Mus musculus: one gene and its partners. The protein of the gene in region 2 interacts with the protein of the main gene of each other region in a pairwise test. Links are inferred from orthologs where the notes say so. Each region holds a gene or a part of one and is shown on either strand. Other genes may lie near its edges.

Region 1 (3,517 bases), on a different chromosome or scaffold from region 2:
TTAAAGTGTTGGCATACTCATTCACTGCAGCTTAATCCTTAAGTATCCCCTAGCATTTTTGCTTTACCGTTTAGTTACAGCCATCGCCAAGTCCTTGATTCCAACTCCTTGCTCAAAATGTTCCTCTCCCTCTGGTTTTACAGTGCAAAGGCAGCACAGATGTGTTCTTGATAGGTACATGATCTAAGGTTTAAACTTGATAAACTGCTTTTCTTGCCCCAAATCATCAAACGTGCTGAAGAATATTCACTCCACAGACCTACTGTCTTCCTACATGCGTACACTGGTTCCTGTGCCAGGAAATGTGAGTCAGTATGTCAGCTGACTGTGGTTTAAGCCTGGTTTGGCTTCAGTTAGCTTCCCAAAATCAAGCTGAGTGAAGTCCATAATGTATTTCATATAGATGTTGCTCCATCTGCATCCAAGCCTCTTACTGCTGCTTCCAAGGAACTTGGAATAACTCTTGGGTTAGTTTCACCTTACTAAATGGAAAAGCAATTTCTTTTAACATCTTATACACATCTACCTCTTCATGGATATAATCCACCTTTTAGTGATTGTGGTATTTTTCGCCTGCTTCTCTGGAGGTCCTGCTCCAGTCATCTTGGTTCCAGATAACAGTGGTTCAACCTGCTACTCACATCTAGTCTACTTGAGTACCACCTCCAAAACAGTGTTAGCAGCACCTTGACGTGGACCCTTAACTCATGGAAGTTATAGAAGGAAAATCAGCCCTTAGTGTAGTAGTGTCTCTGGAGGCACAAATCATGTTTGGAGATAGGCATTGTTGTCCTTTTAAGAACAAGCCTACAAAATGTAGCTCCTATAATCATCAGGAGTGCCCTCCTTTAGTTGGCCATGGGGCAGAAGTAACTGTAGGAAGCAGTGAGCTCTCGGCAGTCCCATTTGGAACTTTCTGGACTTTTAGGGGTGCTCCCTGCTTGTTGGTCTTAGGGGTGTGGAGTCCAGGTGCACATCCCATGTGTTGGTCATGAGATCACTATGATGACCATGCTCTTGTCTTTCAGGCTCAGCTTCGGGCATTTATCCCAGAGATGCTCAAGTATTCCACAGGTCGGGGGAAACCAGGCTGGGGGAAAGAAAGCTGCAAGCCTATCTGGTGGCCAGAAGATATCCCATGGGCCAATGTCCGCAGTGATGTCCGCACAGAAGAGCAAAAACAAAGGGTACATTCCTCAGTCCTCATTAGTTTGCCATGCTGGGTCACCCGCCTCAGTTTCTGTTGGTACAAGTTTCATACCATTTCATAACAGTCAGGCCTCTTCCTCCAAAAAAGTCGGTTGTTCTCTGATATACAGTCCTTCTTGTTTATTACTGTACACAGAAAGATTTGGAAAGGCTGTGGATTTATACTTTGTTTCTTCATAGATGTCTTTTGTAAAAGCTTTAAACCAGAGAAACTTGGAAGTAAGAATCATTTGAAAGCTTAGAAATAGCCTTGCTTCTGATTAGCAAGAACTACTGTTGAGCGGTTTGGTGGCACATTCTGTAATGCTAGCACTCAGCAGGCCAGCGCATGGAATCTCTAGTTTGAGGCCAGCCTGGACAACATAATGAGTTCTAGACCAAACCTACCTGAAAACAAAAAACAGACAAACAAAACAAATCACTAGAGAGTTAGTTGAGTGGTTAAGACAGCTTGCTGTTTTTGCAGAAGACCTGAGTTCAATTCCCAGCACTCATGTCGGGTGACTTACAACCACACGTAACTCTAGTTACAGGGATCCAACTCTCTTCTGGCTGCCATGGGCACCGTCACACATGTAGGATACACTCACACAGACACACCCAGATAATATACATACATACAAAGAGACATAATACATACTTCTTGATCAGAGTGTTACCTCTTATGAGAAATTGGAGAGTTTGGCCTCAGTTTGGAATAGGACACAAAAGCAAAATCCGAACTTGGTTAGGAAGGAAGGACAGAAAACCATCAGTTGCTTTGCTCCAGAATAATTCTGTGGGAAGTCCTAAAAAACTAACTCTATACGAGGTTTGATAAATACATGCCTGATTCTCCTGTGGTGGCATAAATCCCCAATTTCTTTGTGGCTTATTATGCTTTCCTGTTGTTTTGATGACAGGTTTCATGGACCCAGGCATTACGGACCATAGTTAAAAATTGCTATAAGCAACATGGGCGGGAGGATCTTTTATATGCTTTTGAAGATCAGCAAACACAAACTCAGGCCACCACCACACACAGTATAGCTCATCTCGTACCATCACAGACCGTAGTACAGACCTTCAGCAACCCTGATGGCACCGTGTCGCTCATCCAGGTATGTAAGCCTGATGTCTCAGGGGAGGTGGCTCGGTGCTATCTCACCTCTAATGGAGAAGTTTCCTGTGTTCATGCTCTCTTCTCTGCACATCCTAACAGCTGCTCTCGCTCTCGCTCTTCCTGCCTAGCAGTCGCTTCCAAACAGTTTCATTTATTTTTTATTTCATTTTCTTGTGCTGCTTGGAATGGGAAAGTCCTCACCCACATGGCCACATCTTATCTCCAGCCTTTGAACCATATTTTACATTGCATGTGCTTTATTTAATTCAGAGCTATAAGTAGCTTCTGGAACATTTCCAAACAAAGCACCTGAAAATTGTTTCTTGGGTTAGGGTCCAATTAAATAGTAGAATGCTCGCCTATCATGTAGAAGACCATCACCTTCAATCCCCATCATCTGGAGAGAGAAACAGAGAGGAGGATTTTGGAGGAAGGAGGAAGGGAGAAAGACAGATAGGTGTGTACCTGCCAGAGAAATACCTTTTCTAAGGTGGAACACTGTTTATTGACAGATGAGGAATCTCTAAAGTTCAGGTTGGGGTTAGAGTGTAGAGTGTTGGTTGACTGGCACCAAACTCCAGAGTGGAATGCAGTTATTCTTCTAATATTGGTTCACGCTAGTCTCTGAGAGCTGATTTAGTCATTCTCTTCCTGTCAGGAGGCATATTATGCAGAATTTGGGGCTCAGCGAGTCTTAGCTTATGTGTGAGGGCTAGGTAGAAGGTCTGTCTACTGGCATTTAACTTCCTGTGTTTCCTAGGTTGGTACAGGGGCAACAGTAGCCACATTGGCTGATGCTTCAGAACTGCCAACCACAGTCACTGTTGCCCAAGTGAATTACTCTGCTGTGGCTGATGGAGAGGTAAGAAAAGGGTTTCTGTATTTCCCTACTGGAGTAGTGCATGAATGAGTAGGAAGAAGTCAGGCCCAGAAGACGAAGGAGCAGCCTTGCAATATGTGAAACTTTTAGTATTTATCCAACCATGACAATTTGGAGAAGTATCTAATATTGTGTTAATTGTAATAATTAAAATTCATGGATCACTACTGCCCAAACCAACCTGTTAGAAACTTAGAATTTCACATTTGTAATATAGTATTTAATATAAAACATAATAAAGGGATTTTCTCTTTCATATTTTTACAAGAAAGGCCATTTGAGGGCTCCAATGCTTAGTATAGGCAATCTCCATAGTTGCAAAAAGG
Region 2 (4,238 bases):
TTTCCAGCTTTGGTACACTTCATCAGTCGCTCATATGGTCGGTCCCTGGTATCTTGATTTCATGTCTTTGGAGAGAAGCTAGGGGCCGGTTCAGGAGCATTTGACAAAGTGCTTTGCGCAGCTAGCTGTGAATTCCACTTGCCTAGAAGCTTACGCTAAAACCATGACCAGAGCTGACCCACATGCAGCCAGGCTTTCCTTTGCCCGGACAACCTTGTGAGACCTCTAGGAGCGAGAAGCGCGCCAAGAACGCAGACTCTAAGGCGCACTCGTGGCCACCCTAGAAGACAAGTCACTAATCTGCACCAGCAGCCAGCCAGAGATACGACAAATAAAATGGAAGCTCCTGCTCGGTGGGAACACAGGCCTCGCGCTGAGACCGGAGGCCCCGGCAAGCTAGGTGAGCAAAGAAAGCAGGGCGAAGGGGATGTACCCCAAGTCAGCTTCATTCAAACCCCGAGGACACCAGACCCCGCCTCCCAACACCTCGGTCCGCTCAATCGCCGCGCGCTCCGGGTGTGAGCTCGCCCCGCGGGGAGCGGCTTTCAGCTGAGGGGGCGGTGGCAGAGGCGGTTCGGGCAGCCCCACTCGGCCGATAGGCCCAGGCAAACAACACCCATTTCTCCCTCCCCCCCGCGCGGGGTTCAACTCCCACTCGGCCCCGGCCACGCCCTGCTGCCACCGCCCCCTCGGGCAGCTCTAGGCTCCGCAGCCAGGCCGCGTTCGGGGGCGGGAGGAAGGCGGTGCCTCAATCGGAATAGCCGTCAAAAACTACGAGGCCCGAAAGCCTTTGCGGGAGAGGCCCGCCCGCCTCCTCCCACGACTCACTGTGCGTCAGCGGCCTCATCCAATGAGAGCCGAGCCAGGGAAAAAGGGCGCCCGGGTCCGGATGCGCCTTAGGAAAAGCCATGCTCACGCCGAGGGGGCAGCTGGCAGTCCACTCAGACCACGGGATCGCAGGGAGCTCACGCTTCCCCGCGCTCGCCCCGCTCCTCTCCCTTAAGCCTAGCTCCATGTCTTCCTTCCGCGGCCCCTCGCAGGATGCTGCGGCGCGCTTTTGAGTGGAGGGCGCCGGGAACTGAGTAGGGGGCGGGATATCCTGAGACAACAAGTTTGGCTGTATGGAGGGCCTGCCGGCAGCAAACCGCAGCTAGCTCACCGAGAGGGCACGCTCCGCGGGCCGGGAAGGCAGAAGCCGAACAGCAGCGAGCACCAGCCGGGCAAAGGGGAGGAGAAAGGGCGGCCCCAGCGCCCCGGCCCCGGCAGGTCGGCGGCCAATCCGCTGGGGGAAGGGGTGGAGAGTCGGCGGCGCCGGCGGAGGCAGGCCGAGGGGGGTGGGGAGTCGCCGCGCTCGCGCCGCCCTGGCTCCGCCCCCCGGCCCGCGCCGCCGCCCTCGCCGCGCGCCGCCGCTGTCAATCAAGGGCGAGTCAGCCGGGCTCGGGCGGAGAGAGGAGCTGCTACGCCACAGCCCAGCGGCGGCCATTCGCGGAAAAAGAGGCAGAGCCTGTGCCAGCTACAGCCTCCTCCGAGCCACCGCGGGCGGGCGGGACCGGCCTCTCCTCCCGCCTCGCCCCCACCCCCACCCACCTCTATCCCAGTGTCTCTGAGAGGGTTTGTCCTGTTAATGCGGGATGAGCGGTACGTATTCTCCACCCCCCTCGGTCTCCTTCACCGCCTCCCTTCGTCCCTCCCTCCCCAGACCCTGCTCGCTTCCCCCTCCCCCGGGGCCGCCGAGATGCTGGAAGGGGAGGAGGAGAGGGCGGGAGGGAACCAGGGGGAGGGAAGGAGGGCTGTGTTTTGTCTTAATGTCTGAGCTAGAACAACCTCCTTCTGGGTGTTGCTCTGGAGCCTATGGGTCGGGTTTCAAACCACGTTTCGTGAGAGCCCCCTCCTCCCTACCCTCCTTCTCCCCCACCCCCTGCCGGTGTGCACGGATCGCGGGTTTACGGAGATTAATGTTCAAGAGGAGGGAGGGGGAAGAAGGGAGGAGAACGAATAATAATAATCCTAATAACCTGTTGTCGTGTGTGTTGGTGGTGGTGGGGGGTTGTTGCAGATCAGAAGAAGGAGGAGGAGGAGGAGGCGGCAGCGGCGATGGCTACAGAAGGAGGGAAAACCTCTGAGCCAGAGAATAACAATAAAAAACCCAAAACCTCAGGCTCCCAGGTAAAAGCAAACGTTAAAAGAAAATTCAACACAAAGCTTTAGGGAAGAGAGGGAGTTATGCTCTTTAAGTACCCAGAAGTAAAGAACAGAATAAAAATGTTTATCCATTCAAAGCATCTTTCTGAGTGAGGAACTTAAATCGTAAATTCTTGAAGATTTCCCATCGTTGAGGCTATAACGATGTTTATATTACACCAGGAATTCAGACTGTTAGAAGAAGGTGTCTATTTTCCCAAGGGCATTTTGAGTTTAGAAGAATAACACTTTAAGAAAGTTTACCAGAAAATTCCTTTTTATTTAAACTTTATGTAATAGGACTTGCCTTTTTATTCATATAGCTTCTATCACCTGCTTTTGTTCATATTTCCTTTTTAATTCTGCTGCCTATTGAGTGTGTTCTGATACTTAGAGCTCTCAAAATAAATAACCCCCTCCCGACTGCTGTCTTCCACTAAATCCGCCCACTTTTTTCCCCTCCCTCTCCTTTCCCCTCCCATTTTGGGTAGGACTCTCAGCCCTCTCCTCTGGCTTTACTGGCAGCTACTTGCAGCAAAATAGGGACTCCTGGTGAAAATCAAGCAACTGGACAACAGCAGATTATTATAGATCCAAGCCAAGGATTGGTGCAACTTCAGAATCAGCCACAGCAGCTAGAACTGGTGACGACGCAGCTTGCTGGAAACGCTTGGCAACTTGTTGCCTCCACTCCTCCTGCTTCAAAAGAAAATAACGTTTCTCAGCCAGCTTCTAGTTCATCTAGTTCTTCCAGCAGTAATAACGGGAGTTCCTCTCCTACAAAAACTAAATCAGGTAATCCTTCCACCCCTAATCAATTTCAAGTCATACAAGTACAAAACCCAAGCGGTAGTGTACAGTACCAAGTGATCCCCCAACTTCAGACGGTGGAAGGCCAGCAAATTCAAATCAACCCAACTAGTAGTTCATCTCTACAGGATTTGCAGGGTCAAATTCAGCTCATTTCTGCAGGTAATAATCAAGCTATCCTCACGGCTGCTAACAGGACAGCTTCTGGGAATATCCTTGCTCAAAACCTGGCAAATCAGACAGTTCCAGTACAAATTAGACCTGGCGTTTCAATACCATTGCAATTGCAGACCCTTCCTGGTACTCAGGCTCAAGTTGTAACAACCCTACCAATTAACATTGGAGGAGTGACTTTAGCTTTGCCAGTAATAAATAACGTGACTGCTGGAGGAGGGACTGGACAAGTCGGCCAGCCTACTACTACTACTGACAGTGGGACTTCCAATGGGAATCAGTTAGTTTCTACGCCCACCACCAGCACTGCTCCCGCCAGTACTATGCCTGAATCGCCCTCCTCCTCTACTACCTGCACAACCACCGCATCAACAACTCTGACGAGCAGTGACACATTAGTGAGCTCAGCAGATACAGGCCAGTATGCAAGCACATCAGCCAGTAGTTCTGAACGCACCATTGAAGAACCACAGACACCTGCTGCTACTGAGTCTGAAGCCCAGAGCTCCAGCCAGCTTCAGTCCAACGGAATTCAGAATGCACAAGACCAGTCAAATTCCCTTCAACAAGTACAGATTGTAGGCCAGCCTATCCTGCAGCAAATCCAGATCCAGCAGCCTCAGCAGCAGATTATTCAAGCTATCCCACCACAGTCATTTCAGCTCCAGTCAGGGCAGACAATTCAGACCATCCAGCAGCAGCCTTTGCAGAATGTTCAACTTCAAGCAGTAAACCCGACTCAGGTACTTATCAGGGCTCCAACTTTAACACCTTCAGGGCAAATCAGCTGGCAAACTGTCCAGGTCCAGAATATTCAAAGTCTTTCAAATTTGCAAGTTCAGAATGCTGGGTTATCCCAGCAGTTAACCATCACCCCAGTGTCTTCAAGTGGTGGCACAACTCTTGCTCAGATTGCTCCTGTGGCTGTTGCTGGTGCCCCAATAACTTTGAATACTGCCCAGCTTGCATCAGTGCCTAACCTTCAGACAGTGAGCGTTGCCAACCTGGGTGCTGCGGGTGTTCAAGTTCAGGGAGTTCCAGTAACAATCACTAGTGTTGCAGGTAAGCTACAT
Region 3 (3,517 bases), on a different chromosome or scaffold from region 2:
ACTGAGCCTTGGAAACAATTAAGTTGCATGATTTCAGGTTAAAGTCCTGGAAATTTCCTTTAGTAAGCTAGCCTTTACTGGTTTTTCAGGTCTTTTATTCTTATATGTAACCATGTTCCTGATTTAAGGCACTGTTATAGTTCTCATCAATACTGGTAGTTTGAAACCACACTGAATGAAAGCACTGCTCGAATGGACACTGTTAGGTCAAAGTGCACAGCCCTGTTGCACCACTGAGGAGCTTTAGAGAGACGCTTACCCTGCTGGCCCTGGGGGGTCTGTGAGATGATAAACTGTGCTGGTTGCAGGTTGGTGGTTGGGTGCACCAACACAAACTGTTGCAAGTTGAGATTTTGCTGCTGAAGCTGTTGCAATTGTTGAAGATCCTAAAGGCTCAGAAGCAAAACACAGATTAGAGAGAGATCCTGAAATGAAAGCTGGATTAGTCGTAAGGTTCCTAGGCAAAGACTTGTGTCACATCAAATAACAATGAGACAATACTCAGCTTTTTTTCATGTCCCAACAGTGTGGCTTCCAACAGTGTCAGTGTGTGAGAAATGCTCAGGCCTCAGGCCAGAGAAGGCTCAGTAGGTAGGAGTGCTCGCTGTGCAAGACTGAAGACCTAAGTGTGATCTTCAGACCCACGGTGGAAGGAGAGAACTGACTCCTGAGAATTGTTTTGATTTACACACACAAACAGCAATTATCAAAAACAAAACTGAAAAAACTTAGGGCCTCTGCAAGAAGTTATTTTTGAGGTTATGATGTATATTATATAGAATCATGATTGTGTTAAGCCCAATTTTCAATGGTTACCTAAAATACTTTCAGAATAAATGAATAGAGAATAAATGTTCTGGGGGAGGCAGTTTTCAATTTTAGTTTTATTGTTATTAGTGTGTGATGAGGTTTGTGTAAGCCACACATGCATGTGGAGATCAGAAGACAAGTCTGGAGTTAACTCTCTACTTCCACCTGCCACCACTGAGATAGGTAACCTTGGATGGCAACCTGCCCGCCTCTGGCATCAACTAAAATGCGAGCATCTGTGCATGCCTCTGAGAGCTCTTCTTGATCGGCTCATCTGAGCTGGGAAGACCCATGCTCAATCTGGCCTGTGCCTTCTGCTGATAGCCCACATAAAGGAACAGGGAAGAAGGACCCTTTTGCTTCCTGTCTCTGTGCTCTTTCCCTCTGGTTATATTCATCTATCCTGTTGCTGAGGAATTCCTCTGCTGGTAATAGAAGAGTTCAAGACGGAATAAAGACTAGCTAAGACATCCAGCTGCATGAACTGAAAGACCACCATCATTGGACTAGCCAGACCATAGCCTGTAAACTACTCTAATAAATGCTAATAAATTAATATGCATTCATTCTATAAGTTCTGTTCATTTAGCTCTGATCTAAACAAAGACTAAATGTTCCTGAAAAATTAAGTGAGGAAAAAGGGATTTGAATATTTGACCCATTTTTTTTTATTTTGTTTTTTATTTTGTTTTTGTTTATTTTTTCAAGACAGGGTTTCTCTGTGTAGCCCTGGCTGCCCTGGAACTCACTCTGTAGACCAGGCTGGCCTCAAACTCAGAAATCCGCCTGTCTCTGCCTCCCAAGTGCTGGGATTAAAGGCGTGTGCCACCTGGCTTCCATTTTTTTTTCTAAAGTAAAAATTGAGTGATATAACAAAATTTCCATCAATAAAATAAAAGATTTGATTCCTGAAATTTGACACCAGCTTATCCAATTCAATTTAGGAATTGATGTTAAGTTATTTTAAAAATTCACATAAAAGTCAGATATAACAAAACAATACAGCTTTATATTGGCTCTAGTATCTTACATTTTTCAATGCCTTCATATAAATCATTCTATTTATATTAATTTCAGGTAAAGTCTCAAAGTTTAGGCACTAACATAATTTATTTGATGAAGAAAATGGCCCAAATCAAAACACTATCTTGATACAGATGTCCACACAGTAATAATAAAAATCAGTCTGAGTCTATTTCAAGTATCTCGTCAAACTGTGTCACACCTTCAGCACCCCCTCCCTGGGGACAGAAGGAGGAGTTACTCTGCTTAGACTGTTACCCTGCTTCTGCTACATCAACTTCTCAGGCTCCCTGTCCCTCCCTTGAGAGAAACAAGGTCACATATTTTCTCTTTTGTTATAATTCTTTATGACTCTAAGTAATTTTTAAACTACCTTTGGATATTTTATTTGAAAACGTAAAAACTGAAACCCTGTAACATTTTAATGCAGTTCTCCATGGTCCTAGTCACTCCACAGCAGAAAGATGACTTGCTGTCTTTTTTTACAAGGTGGCAACACTTACTATAGAGCACATGGAAGAATTTTTGCCTGCTATGATTGGCTAATAAGATGAATTAAGATGAATACTGAAACCCCTTGCCTCAGAAATATGCCAGCTACTTACTCAAGAATTTCATTTAACATAAACATTCACTTATTCAAATAACCAGCTAGATGTTTATAATATCAACTCAAATAAGCAAAAGGGAAGAAGCGATAATGCCACCTTGAACCAGAGTTCCTTGGGTGTTTAAAGACCCACAGCAGCAACCAGAAGGCTAACAATATGGAAGAGAATTTCCCATTTTATTGGCTGTTTGCTGTCCCAGTAACCTTGCTCTTCCCTTCCTCACCTGTGCAATCTGTATGGGCTGAGACAGGGGGATCTGCGTCATGGGTGTGGCGGCGGAGGCTGAGATGGTGGCCCCAGCAGCACTGTGCTGTTGGCTGGCGGAGTGTTGCTGCACTGCAGCGGCCAGGAGCTGGGCCTGGGCCTGCGCCTGCTGTAGCAGTAACTGTTGCTGGGCTGGGGTCAACGTGAGCTAGAGTAAGAACAATGAAGGGAAAGATTGAGTGCCTTTAAATAGGTAACTCAAGTGGGATTAGGTTCTCACTACTGGTCAATGTACAGCTAACCTGTCCACCAATGAACAAACTACCTGTTCTACCACAGCATTTAACTTAAAGTAGTCTGCACTTCAGACTTGAACAATCATTTAGACAAGGAATGAAAACAAAGGACTGATGCTGACAGGATGCAAAGACATTTATATCCAACAGCAGGTGATGAATGAGGGACAAAAGGATGCTGGCAGGTGCAGGAAGAGAACTGGTAAGGCCCAGCTGCTTGAATCCCCATCGTATTTCACTACTTCCATCACATCTTCACATGTGACTAAAAATCAGGAGCCACACTTGTTTCCTTTAAAAATCCTCCTCCAGGACCCTCCCTTACCCAATCTCCTGCCCTTGAAAAGCATTGGTTTGCAAGTTTACATTTTTTTCCAACTTATTATCTCTAGGAAACAGGTGGTAAGAGCCACCCTCTTAAACACAAATGAATCTAAACACCCAGAATTAATAGTCTTCAAGGTACATGAACCTGGAATTCCAAGTGCCCATCTATCTATCTATCCTAGACACTAATCACCAAAACCCAAACCCTAACAATAAAGCAAGAAATGTATTTAGAACAAACATAAA

The links. The genes of interacting proteins can lie anywhere in the genome.
Region 1: the proteins of Sp4 (region 2) and Nrf1 interact in binary tests that used the Homo sapiens proteins (3 or more experiments, as listed by UniProt). The two-hybrid records come from large-scale screens. The link is inferred for Mus musculus from reciprocal best matches to the Homo sapiens genes SP4 and NRF1.
Region 3: the proteins of Sp4 (region 2) and Pou2f1 interact in binary tests that used the Homo sapiens proteins (3 or more experiments, as listed by UniProt). The two-hybrid records come from large-scale screens. The link is inferred for Mus musculus from reciprocal best matches to the Homo sapiens genes SP4 and POU2F1.

Annotation. Positions count from the first base shown.
Region 1 is NC_000072.6:30,113,985-30,117,501, forward strand, and holds part of Nrf1 (nuclear respiratory factor 1), read left to right. Parts: intron 1-1,028; coding exon 1,029-1,187; intron 1,188-2,111; coding exon 2,112-2,309; intron 2,310-3,071; coding exon 3,072-3,173; intron 3,174-3,517. UniProt on the Homo sapiens protein: Transcription factor that activates the expression of the EIF2S1 (EIF2-alpha) gene. Links the transcriptional modulation of key metabolic genes to cellular growth and development.
Region 2 is NC_000078.6:118,298,627-118,302,864, reverse strand, and holds the start of Sp4 (transcription factor Sp4), read left to right. Parts: upstream 1-1,424; 5' UTR 1,425-1,631; coding exon 1,632-1,638; intron 1,639-2,056; coding exon 2,057-2,166; intron 2,167-2,672; coding exon 2,673-4,227; intron 4,228-4,238. UniProt on the Homo sapiens protein: Binds to GT and GC boxes promoters elements. Probable transcriptional activator.
Region 3 is NC_000067.6:165,908,621-165,912,137, forward strand, and holds part of Pou2f1 (POU domain, class 2, transcription factor 1), read right to left. Parts: intron 2,857-3,517; coding exon 2,668-2,856; intron 387-2,667; coding exon 260-386; intron 1-259. UniProt on the Homo sapiens protein: Transcription factor that binds to the octamer motif (5'-ATTTGCAT-3') and activates the promoters of the genes for some small nuclear RNAs (snRNA) and of genes such as those for histone H2B and immunoglobulins.